Macaca fascicularis: one gene and its partners. Each later gene encodes a partner of the first gene's protein in a complex. Links are inferred from orthologs where the notes say so. Each region holds a gene or a part of one and is shown on either strand. Other genes may lie near its edges. The genes, in order: CFB, CFP and CFD.

The links.
Region 2: the proteins of CFB (region 1) and CFP are in contact, whole or in part, in a crystal structure (PDB 7NOZ), measured with the Homo sapiens proteins. The link is inferred for Macaca fascicularis from reciprocal best matches to the Homo sapiens genes CFB and CFP. Residues at the interface, in NP_001701.2 of Homo sapiens: Glu54, Gln56, Ser78, Thr316, Tyr317, Leu349, Ser351, Met394; in NP_001138724.1 of Homo sapiens: Arg329, Arg330, Asn331, Lys333, Pro341, Met420, Val421.
Region 3: the proteins of CFB (region 1) and CFD are in contact, whole or in part, in a crystal structure (PDB 2XWB), measured with the Homo sapiens proteins. The link is inferred for Macaca fascicularis from reciprocal best matches to the Homo sapiens genes CFB and CFD. Residues at the interface, in NP_001701.2 of Homo sapiens: Glu298, Ala301, Ser302, Ala332, Asp333, Ile469, Asp470, Glu471, Ser472, Glu518, Tyr519, Lys585, Asp758, Glu759, Asp760; in NP_001919.2 of Homo sapiens: Asn157, His158, Ala159, Gly160, Arg161, Arg162, Arg182, Thr183, Asp186, Arg200, Val228, Cys229, Gly230, Asn231, Arg232, Lys233.

The regions. Positions count from the first base shown.
Region 1 is NC_088378.1:139,756,036-139,759,655, reverse strand, and holds the end of CFB (complement factor B), read left to right. Parts: intron 1-194; coding exon 195-296; intron 297-371; coding exon 372-509; intron 510-1,005; coding exon 1,006-1,103; intron 1,104-1,241; coding exon 1,242-1,359; intron 1,360-1,574; coding exon 1,575-1,725; intron 1,726-1,822; coding exon 1,823-1,899; intron 1,900-2,097; coding exon 2,098-2,198; intron 2,199-2,296; coding exon 2,297-2,429; intron 2,430-2,510; coding exon 2,511-2,560; intron 2,561-2,829; coding exon 2,830-2,985; 3' UTR 2,986-3,039; downstream 3,040-3,620. Other genes in the region: NELFE (negative elongation factor E), read right to left, coding at 3,256-3,353.
Region 2 is NC_088395.1:47,723,763-47,727,089, reverse strand, and holds the end of CFP (properdin), read left to right. Parts: coding exon 1-137; intron 138-388; coding exon 389-580; intron 581-738; coding exon 739-850; intron 851-2,509; coding exon 2,510-2,675; 3' UTR 2,676-2,737; downstream 2,738-3,327. UniProt on the Homo sapiens protein: A positive regulator of the alternate pathway (AP) of complement. It binds to and stabilizes the C3- and C5-convertase enzyme complexes. Inhibits CFI-CFH mediated degradation of Complement C3 beta chain (C3b).
Region 3 is NC_088393.1:1,424,107-1,428,263, reverse strand, and holds the start of CFD (complement factor D), read right to left. Parts: upstream 2,807-4,157; 5' UTR 2,781-2,806; coding exon 2,726-2,780; intron 1,880-2,725; coding exon 1,723-1,879; intron 1,636-1,722; coding exon 1,491-1,635; intron 1,042-1,490; coding exon 784-1,041; intron 1-783.

The DNA of each region.
Region 1 (3,620 bases):
CCATGGTTGGGGCCCTGAATGTGACTCGTAACTGGCTGTTCATCTCTCCTGTGACCCTTCATAAAGAATTATTCCTAAAGCCCTGTGATCAACTACCTCTAACCCTTCCTCAACTTACTCACCCTGCCACGTGTATCACTGCCTCTAGCCAATTTATCTTATCTCCTACCCTCATGGTCCCGTCTCTTCTGCAGGATTGCACAACATGGGCGGGGACCCAATTACTGTCATTGATGAGATCCGGGACTTGTTATACATCGGCAAGGATCGTAAAAACCCGAGGGAGGATTATCTGGGTGAGTAACCTGCCTAGGACCCAGCACCCTACTTCCTCAGGGCTTGGACCGTCATCCTTCCTTTTTCTCCCTCAGATGTCTATGTGTTTGGGGTTGGACCTTTGGTGGACCAAGTGAACATCAATGCTTTGGCTTCCAAGAAAGACAATGAGCAACATGTGTTCAAAGTCAAGGATATGGAAAACCTGGAAGACGTTTTCTTCCAAATGATTGGTAGGCAGACACAAGGGAATCAAGAACGCAACTCTCCTCAGCTTCCCCTGAAATAATTCATTCTTCCTCTACCCCTGAAGCTCTAGTTGCCTGGAAAGCCTTCTTCATTCCTCCTTCTCTACCTCAGTATCACTATTCTTGTTTCCTGGCACTGTTTGCTTCTTAACCTTAGAATCACAGAGCTCTAGGCACTTCAGAGATCTTTCTATTGTCCTACATTTGACACATGTGGAAACAAAGGCCAAAGGAGGTCAAGGGGCAGCAAGCTAGCAACAGGGCTGGGCTTGAAAACAGCCAGGCCTCTGATAGCTTGATCCCAAGTTCTTTCCCTTTTCACTCCACCACAGCAGTTTTCTCCTAACACGAGGAAACAAATACCTGTGGCCTTTCCCTTTCTCCTTTTGGGCCTCTGCCCCCCACAGACTTCTACCCAAAGGCTGCTGCCGTTTGGGAATGAAGTGTTCCAAGTTTTCAGCACATTCTCCTTCTCTGCCAGATGAAAGCCAGTCTCTGAGTCTCTGTGGCATGGTTTGGGAACACAGCGAGGGTACCGATTACCACAAGCAACCATGGCAGGCCAAGATCTCAGTCACTGTAAGCACAGAATCCCAGTAGTGAGGACTTGGGGGAGGTGAGGTCAAGGTGAAATGGGAGTAGGGGAAGGGCAAAATGGCCGTAAGAGATGGTGGTTTGTGAAAGTTGAGTTTTCCCTTTCTACTGTTCTGTTCCCAGCGCCCTTCGAAGGGACATGAGAGCTGTATGGGGGCTGTGGTGTCTGAGTACTTTGTGCTGACAGCAGCACATTGTTTTACTGTGGACGACAAGGAACACTCGATCAAGGTCAGCGTGGGTAAGGATGCAACTGAAGGTCCCGGGCTGCACCTACGCCCTCCAGGCAACACCTCCCACTTTCTACAGATCCCACACTCCACTCATCTGCAATGCAGCCCCATCCCTTGCACCCCAGACCAGTCAGGGATGGGGAAGACTTGAAGTTAGGAATGACATGGGGCCAGAGGCAAGAAGCTGCCCACAAAGAGGTGGTACCTATTCTCCTACTTCAAGGGAAGAAGCGGGACCTGGAGATAGAAAAAGTCCTATTTCACCCCGACTACAACATTAGCGGGAAAAAAGAAGCAGGAATTCCTGAATTTTATGACTATGACGTTGCCCTGATCAAGCTCAAGAATAAGTTGAATTATGACCCGACTATCAGGTGAGAGCATCCAGATCCCTGAGGAAAGGCTGGGAAAGGCTGGAGGACTGGGGTGAGGAGCAGGCCTAGTTTGCTGTTCTTTCTCCATCCTTTATAGGCCCATTTGTCTCCCCTGCACCGAGGGAACAACTCGAGCTTTGAGGCTTCCTCCAACTACCACTTGCCAGCAACAGAGTAAGACATACTAGGGGGGAGGATAAGGATGAGATCCCGAGACAAGTGAGGCATGAGAGGGAGATGCAATAGGAAGAGACGATGCCTGGCCCAGAACCTAGCACTAGGAAGGGCTTAGGGGACATCTGCTGAGTGACAAAGTCAATAGGGAGATGACAGTGGTGGGAGCAGCTGAAGTGATGCAGTCTATTTGTCCAGAGGAAGAGCTGCTCCCTGCACAGGATATCAAAGCTCTGTTTGTGTCTGAGGAGGAGAAGAAGCTGACTCGGAAGGAGGTCTACATCAAGAATGGGGATAAGGTGAGAAATGGGCATCCTAAGGAGGCACTCTAGGCCCTAATCCTTCCTAAGCCACCTCTGTTCATTACCTTTCTCCATGCTTCCCACCTCCCCTACAGAAAGGCAGCTGTGAGAGAGATGCTCAATATGCCCCAGGCTATGACAAAGTCAAGGACATCTCCGAGGTGGTCACCCCTCGGTTCCTTTGTACTGGAGGAGTGAGTCCCTATGCTGACCCCAATACTTGCAGAGGTGAGAGAACGCTCTCTGGTTGTGCTCCAAGTGCCCGAGGGCCAAGAGTCCTTTTCCCTACAGCTTCTCCTCTCCTTGCAGGTGATTCTGGCGGCCCCTTGATAGTTCACAAGAGAAGTCGTTTTATTCAAGTGAGTCCTCCCTTTCCTATCTGGGGAGATGCCAAGTGGTCAGCATGGGCCCCAAAGCAGGAAAGCACAATGCATGTGGCTAGTAATTCGAGGTGGGCAGAGCCTGCCTCACTTTAGGACTGCATGTCTGGCCTGTGTGTGTCAAGAATGAGGCTGAGCTGGGTCCCTAGCCTGATTCCTTTAGGTCAGCTAAGACACAATCAGGAACAGTCATGCTTCCAGGATTAGGAATTCTATGAATGATCCATGGCACCCCACTGCCTCTGCAGGTTGGTGTCATCAGCTGGGGAGTAGTGGATGTCTGCAAAAACCAGAAGCGGCAAAAGCAGGTACCTGCTCACGCCCGAGACTTTCACGTCAACCTCTTCCAAGTGCTGCCCTGGCTGAAGGAGAAACTCCAAGATGAGGATTTGGGTTTTCTATAAGGGGTTTCCTGCTGGACAGGGGCGCGGGATTGAATTAAAACAGCTGCGACAACACTTGTGTTCCAGATCCTTTTGGGGCAAGGGAGTGGGGAACGGGCACTGGCCATGTTGTTACACTGAGATCAAACCTGACACCCATTTTTAAAGGCTTAACCCCAATCCCAAGTGCTGAAAAACCAGAGGCTGAGGGAGATATGTAAGCTTCCACCTCAGTGTTTTACTGAGACCAGCATTGGGGCATTTGAGGCACAAGGAATCCAGCTCTGTTCCCTAGAAGCCATCCACAAGGTTTTCCTTGTAGACGTCATCACTGTAGACAATCTGGGTCCTCTTGTCCCGGTGGCAACCCTTAGGGCTGTTCTGGACAGCTAGGGAGGGAGGAGAGGAACAGTTAAGGTCTAAAGGAGATCATAGATCAGACCCTGAGGCTGACTCCTGACCACCTCAGTCCTGGCTGCTGGCCCCTGGAAACCCAGTTTCCACGCTGCCCTCTGGTGGCCAGGATGGCCTGTCTTCCTTAGCTCCTTTGTGCCAACCCATGGCCAAGGAGAGTGTAAGTGGACATTTTGATGAATGTTTTGTTCTTAGAAAAATCCCAAATGTCATTGTTGAGATATATGAATGATATTAACCCA
Region 2 (3,327 bases), on another chromosome or scaffold:
CTGCCCTGTGACCTGTGGCCTGGGCCAGACCATAGAACGACGGACGTGCAATCGCCCTGTGCCCCAGCATGGAGGCCCCTCCTGTGCTGGTGATGCCACCCGGACCCACATCTGCAACACAGCCGTGCCCTGCCCTGGTCAGCATCTCAGAGTTCACGATTTGCATGCCTAAGCCCCCCATGCCCTTCTCTGCTGCCCAGTTCCTGCTGCTGAGGCCTTGCTCCTGTCTCTGATTCCTCCTTTCCTGGCCCTGATACCTTGTTTCCACCCCGATCCCCCATTCGCACATCTGATCACCTCTACTCCCTCCTACCGCCCTCATTTCTTCCTCTGAACCTCTTGCTGATTCCCTGCTTTGTTCCAATCTCCTCTTGCCCTGTCTCTGCAGTGGATGGAGAGTGGGACTTGTGGGGACAGTGGAGCACCTGTGTCCGCCGGAACATGAAGTCCATCAGCTGTGAAGAAATCCCGGGCCAGCAGTCACGCTGGAGGACCTGCAAGGGCCGCAAGTTTGACGGACATCGATGTACCGGGCAACAACAGGATATTCGGCACTGCTACAGCATCCAACACTGCCCCTGTGAGTGTCCCCCAGACTGTGCTCTGAGGGTGGGGTGGCCCATGCAGGATAAGGGGTTTCCAACTCTCTGCTTTGCACCTCACGTCTCTGCAGCCTCCCTCTCACCTTCCCACCAAGACCTCCAGTTCTGACTCTGTGACCCCTACCCCTCATTGCAGTGAAAGGATCATGGTCAGAGTGGAGTACCTGGGGGCTGTGCATGCCCCCCTGTGGACCTAATCCTACCCGTGCCCGCCAGCGCCTCTGCACACCCTTGCTCCCCAAGTACCCGTGAGTGAGAGGGCAAAGTATGCCTGGGAGGGGGTCATGATATTACAGGCGGGAGAGTCAGCTACCCCTGGAAACCAGGGCTTCCACTGCTGAATCTAAGGTATCTGCCTTGCCGAGTGCCACCTCCCAGCTGCAGGAAGTGGGGAGAAATGAAAGAAGATGAGAAAGAAGCTCTTGGGGGAGAATTTGTAGCCTCTGTGCCCCTCAGTCACTCGTTCAGTCACTCATCCACTCTCCCATTCACTTAGTCCTTCATGTGTCATTGACTCCAACCTTTAGTTACTCATGCTTTTAGCTGCCGCCACTCAGGCCTCCATTCACTGCCTGGCTCCCACAGTCACTCATGCCTCCATCCACTTTGTCAGCATCTCACTGCCCTAAGGCACTCCAAGGCTTTTTCAGCAACAGTTGCAGATACACACAGCCCAGATCCTGTGGATCCTCCAAGGGACCCAGCTGAGCAGGCCCCTGACAGGAGGCATATGAGGAACAGCTGGTGCATGCAACAGGGGCTGCCACCTCAACCTAGGTCCAGGAAGCTGATTGGGCCTCCCAGGGAAGGTAGGGGTTGGGAAAGGCGTTCCTGGCATCAAGACTGTGAACAAAGACTTGGAGCTAGGTGATTAGCTGCCATAAGTGTTTCCAGGTGCCAGAAGGGCCCAGGTGTTAAATGTTCATCCATTTAACATCCAGGTGCCAGAGGGTTAAAACGGTCATCCCTTTTCTTCCTTCCACATACATCAAGCTACTAGATTAAGTGGACTATTCCCAGCTCGTGGAAGGGCTGCCATCTGGGAAGAGATCTCCCAGCTGGGGGGGTTAGAGTGGGGCCTGAAGATGAATTAGAGGTGTTGAATGGAGGCACAAAGGACTTGAGTGAGTGAGAGACTGAGCGGAGGAAGAAGCAATGGAGAAAACTGGGATGGGAGTGAATGGAGGGCTTGCCTAGTGGGAGAAACAACCCAGGTAAAGACCTTTCTGGACATGGACTGAGCTTGAATAAAGTGGAGGAGAAAGACAGAGAGAGATTGGCTTGGGGCAGGGATTTGGGCCCAATGATAAGGCCTTGAATGTCAGGACAAGGCATTGGGTTTTTTCCTAGAGGCGGTGGAAAGAGATATAAAGGATATATATTTTGGACGTAAGAGAAAGTAGCTCATGCCAACAAGTAACATTCACCAGCATTTATTGAGCACTTGCTGTGTGTAAGGCACTGCTCTGAGCACTTTACCTGAATTAACTCATTTATCCTCACTCGGCCCCGTGAGGTGAGTATTAATATTACTATTCCTACCATTCTCATTTGCAGATGAGGGAAACTGAGGCACAGGGAAGCTAAAGAAATTGCCCAATATCCCATAGCTAAAAAGTAATGTTGGGAGGCCAGGCACAGTGGCTCACGCCTGTAATCCCAGCGACACTTTGGGAGGCTGAGGCAAAAGCATCACTTGAGCCCAGGAGATTGAGGCTGCAGTGAGCTATGACTGTGCCACTGCACAGCCTGGGCAACAGAATGAGACCCTGTCTCAAAAAAAAGAAAACAGATAAAACAAACAAAAGGTAGCATTTGGCACATAGCAGGCGCTCAATAAGATCTGAATGCATTCTTGCCTTCCCTGAGCTTCTCCCTTCCGTTCCTTCCCACCCCTAATGCCTCAGGCCCACCGTTTCCATGGTCGAAGGTCAGGGCGAGAAGAACGTGACCTTCTGGGGGAGACCGCTGCCACGGTGTGAGGAGCTACAGGGGCAGAAGCTGGTGGTGGAGGAGAAACGACCATGTCTACACGTGCCTGCTTGCAAAGACCCTGAGGAAGAGAAACTCTAACACCTCTCTCCTCCACTCTGAGCACCCTGACCTTCCAAACCTCAATAAACTAACCTCTTCGAGCTCGTCTACGATTCCTTAAAGGAGGAAAAACAACCCATCCCCTTCCCCAAAAGTAGGGTGATAGCATCCCACAGGGCAAAGGGCACAGCACGGGCCAAGACACAGCAGTCTGTTGCGGACAACAGTATCTTCCACTGTGGTCGCAGGTTGGCAGGAGTGAAAGCGAGTGTGCAGCCCCAGCCTCTCCCCGCCGCTGCCATAACCCCAGTGTCTGGGCCCTGCGCAGCCCCCCTTAGTGCTCCAGGGCCGCCCGGCACGTTCCTCTGCAGAGCTCCGCGTTACGAATTCCCTGATTGGCTACTTGTCTTGGCAGGCACTTCTTGATTGGCAGGCGTGCTTGTTCGTTGTCTCCCCGCCTCCTGGACCTCCCTAGATTCCCACCAGCTGGAGCCTCAGAGGAGCCTCTGCTGGCCGACTCCGACTCCGCGTCTGTGGAGGATGAACGGCAGAGGCGTGGCCGAGGCTGGCACTCTGCCGCCCGAGCACCTGCACCCACCCACTCCCGACAGCCTAGCTCCAATGCCGCAATTACCAGCGACAAATAGCTCGGCGAGGCGGGGGGCGGGCCGAGGAAGTGCCTGTGTTGCAC
Region 3 (4,157 bases), on another chromosome or scaffold:
CCACCCCACTCCAGGCCCTTTCCAGGATGGGGTCCCACACCTCATCCCTGCTCTTCCAGGCTTCGACTTACCGCAGATCCCACTTCTGCCCTAACCCGTCTCAGTGGCCACCTGCTCTGCTCAATCCCCACTCACCTCAGGCACGCCCCTTCCTTAGAGCCCCACCCAATCTTGGCCCTGGCTACCACGCAACCCTCGACTTGTCCTAGGCCTCGGCCCTGCTCAGGACCCCTTCTCTTCCCCGCCGCAGCAGGGATTCCACTCTGCACCAGCCCAGCCCCTTCAGAGGTTCCCGCCCCGTCCACCTGCCCCGCCCCGTCCACCTGCCCCGCCCCTTCCTCCAGGCCCCGCCCCTCATGCCCCACCCCGCTTCCTGGCCTCGCCCCCTTGTAGTCCCTCTGTTACTGGACTCCGCCCCCTCCTCGAGGCCCGCCCCCTATCCCAACCCTAACCCACAAGTCCTTCCACATCCCACCCGTTCCTGCCCATTTTGCCCGCCCTGACCTTTCTTCAGCCCCACCCTCTCCACAGGCCCTGCACCTTCTCCAGGCCCCGCCCCCACAGCCCCGCCTCATCCCACAGGCCCCGCCCCTCGTCCAGGCCCCGCCCACAGGCCGCCCTCATGCCCCGCCCCTTCGGGTCCCGCCCCTCCACGCGCCCCGCCCCTTGCCTGGGCCCCGTTCCTACTTGCCCCCCAGCTTCCCTTCCCCTCTTCGGGACCTGCCCCCGTCCTGCGGGCCCCGCGTTTCCTCCCAGGCCCTCCCGTTCCTCCTGAAGGCTCACTTTGCAGCTGTCCCGGCGGTTGCTCTCCGCGCACATCATACGCTGGGTGATGGCGCCGTCGTGGTGCGTGCGCCGGTTGCAGGTGGCGCGGTCCAGCACTGGCAAGAGCACGTGCTGCAGGCGGTCCGGGCGGCGGCCCGCGTGGCTGACTATGCCCCAGCCGGCCACGTCGCAGAGAGTGCCCGGCTCCACGTCGCGATCCACGCGCTGCCAGGGCAGGGGGCGCACAGCAGGGCCCAGCGTGGCCTTCTCGGACAGCTAGGGATGGAGGCGGACGTCAAGGTTGGGGTGCGGGGGTGCGAGGCCGGGGAGGATGCCGCGAGGCTCGGGGACACGGGAAGGGGGAGGTGGGCATCAGGGCAGGGGGAGAGGTGGGCATCAGGGCAGGGACGGGGGTCTCTGCAGCAGGAGAGATCTAGGCTAGACCCTGGGTGGGGGTGCAGGTGGGGGTGGGGTGGGTGCGAGCGTCCCCAGTGCAGCCGCAGAGGTCGAGGCTGGACCTGGGGTGGGGATGCAGGGGATGGGGGGGCTCCCAGTGCAGCCGCAGAGGTCGAGGCTGGACCCGGGGTGAGGGTGCGGGGGTTGTGGGGCGGGGTCCGCATGCAGCAGGAGAGGTCGAGGCTGGACCCTGGACCCGGGGCGGGGTGGAGTGAGGGTGGGCCGGGGGTCCCAGCGCCTCAGCAGGGACTGCGCTACACTGGGCCGACCTGCAGCAGGAGGAGGTCGTGGTCGATGGTGTCGGGCCGGCTGTCCGGGTGCGGCACTGCGCGGAGCACGTCGTACAGGCGCTTGGAGGGCTCCGGCTGCGACAGGGAGTGCGCGCCCAGGAGAACCTGCACCTTCCCGTCGGCCCTGGGGACCGGGCGGAGTCCGCGGTCGGTGCCAGCCGAGTCCCCCCACCCCACCTGGGCTCTTTCCCCGCGCGGCGCGGGCACTCACGCGTCCTCCAGGCAGTGCGCCGCGCTCAGCACCCACTGCTCGGCCACCAGGACGCCGCCGCACAGGTGCTCGCCGTTCACCTGCACCGACGCCATGTAGGGCCGCGCGTGGGCCTCGGCCTCTCTGCCGCCCAGGATCCGACCGCGGGGCTGCGCCGCTGTGGGTGGGCGGGCATGTGAGGGCCGCGGGGTGGACTCCACCCCCGGGCGAGGCCGCCTGGCGGGATCCCAGCTTTCACCCCCGCAGGCCGCTCCGCCGAAGAATCCCATCTCAGGTCGCTGTTTCCAGCACTTTGGGAAGCCGAAGGGGCAGTGGGGGCGGGGGGCGGGCAGATCACGAGGTCAGGAGTTCGAGACCAGCCTGGCCAATACGGTGAAACGCCCGTCACTACTATAAAAAGAAATACAAAAAATTAGCCGGTGTGGCCTATAATCCCAGTTACTCGGGAAACTGAGGCAGGAGAATCGCTTGAACCCGGGAGTCGGAGGTTGCAGTGAGCCGAGATCACACCACTGCACTCCAGCCCGGGCGACGGAGCCAGACTCCCTCTCAAAAAAAAAAAAAAAGAAAGAAAAGAAAGAATTCCATCTCCGTCTTGGGGCCCCTTGGCGTTGCAAACTCAGATATGCGTGGGCCAGAATGCCCCAGAGTGCGGAACCCACAGTGGGCCGGGGATGGGGGGCAGATCCCAGCTCCCCACCCTGGGCACAATGCCTTCCAGTTGGACATAAGAGAAATAGGGCTGAGCTAACCAGTGCCTAGGCAGAACCATTTTCCACACAGACATCAGACTCTGTCTGCAAGAAAAGCTGATTCCAGAAAGTGCCAATTTCCAAAAGAATCTTCTAGAATTTCTCAGCGTTCAGAGCCTTCCATTGGTGAGGAGAGACACCCCCTTCCTGCCCACCTGGAGGGGCTGGAGGATCGTCTGTGTGACCAAGGGGAGCACCTGGCCCACGCCCCTACACACCCCGCCCCTCACCCCAGGCCCAGGCCCCCTCACCGCAGGCGGCCACTCCCAGGAGGACCAGAACTGCCAGGTGCTCCCAGCTGTGCATGGTGAAGCCGCTGTGGCTGAGACACTGACCCAGGCGGGACCCTGGGGCTGCTTTTATAAGGGTGGAGGGGGCGGGAGGCTCCCAGGGGCCCTGTCCACGGGGTGGGCAGCGGCCCAGCTGGGGAAAGGGGAACCCGCCCGCCCAGCCTCCGCCCTCCCGGGGACTGGGTTACCTCCTGCCAGACTCACACCGGAGTCCACAAGTCGCTGAGAGACCCTCCGGCCTCTGTAAGCCTGACGGCCTGCTGGCCCTGGGTGGAGGGCAGTCCCTCAGATGGGTGGGAGGCAGAGAGGGGGACTGCACCCACCCCAGCCCCCTGGCCCCAACTTCACCAGACACAGAGTCTCCGAGCCTTGTTTCACAATCCTAGTTGGAGGCCTCAGCATGTAAACAACCCACTTCCTTGTCCTGCTACCCCCCACTTCTTCTCTTCCTCCTCCAAATTAGAGAGAAGGTCTGATGGGGATAGAAAGGTCACTTGACACCCTTGTTTCTGTCTCTGTGACCTCTGGGGCTTGACGTCCTGACAAATAGAATGTTGGAAAGGCCAAGGCAGAGGCAGCTGGGAAGACTGGCTACAAAGGACAGGAAAACCAAAACAAACTGGGTGGAGCCTGAATCATGAAAGTTATATGGAAAGTTCAGGGAGGCCACCTTCAGGTGTGGCTTGATCCAGGTGCCTGAAGAATATCCAGTGTCTGCCTCTGGCTTCTCCTTTCTTCTCTGATGGCGTCTCTCCTAACCAGGCTCCCCTGGTGTGCTTCCAGGGACCCCATACTCAACCCAGTGGCTCAATGGGCCCCTCCTAAAATTCTTCATCACTCCAGCCAAGTCTCAAGGTTGCCTTGGGTTGGCGGAGCCTGGATCACACGCCCCCTCCCAAACTGCTCACTGAGGGCAGGTTCTGATGAACACAGTCAGGGCTGGCCGGGCACAGTGGCTCCCACCTACCATCCTAGCACGTTGGGAAACAAGATAGGAGGATCTCGAGCCCAGGAATTCGATGCCAGCTTGGGGAACATGGTGAGACCCCCTCTCTACAAAAAAAATTAAAATAAAATACTTTTCAGAATCTGGGCCATGGGGCCTTCTGTGAAGTGGGGATTTGTGTGTGTTGTTTTTGTTTTATTACAGACAGGGTCCTGCTCTTTGTCCAGGCTCGAGTGCAGTGGTGCGATCATAGCTCCCTGCAGCCTCCTCGACCTCCCGGGCTCAACTGATCCTCCTACCTCAGCCTCCGGAAGGGCTGGGACTGCAGGCCTGCTCATGGTGTAGCTCCATTTTTCACATCTACCCCCAGGGGCCAGTGGGATTCACGTTGCGTGAATCCATGGTGCGGGGACCGAAGGATGGGGGTACCTTGTGGGGAGGACCTCG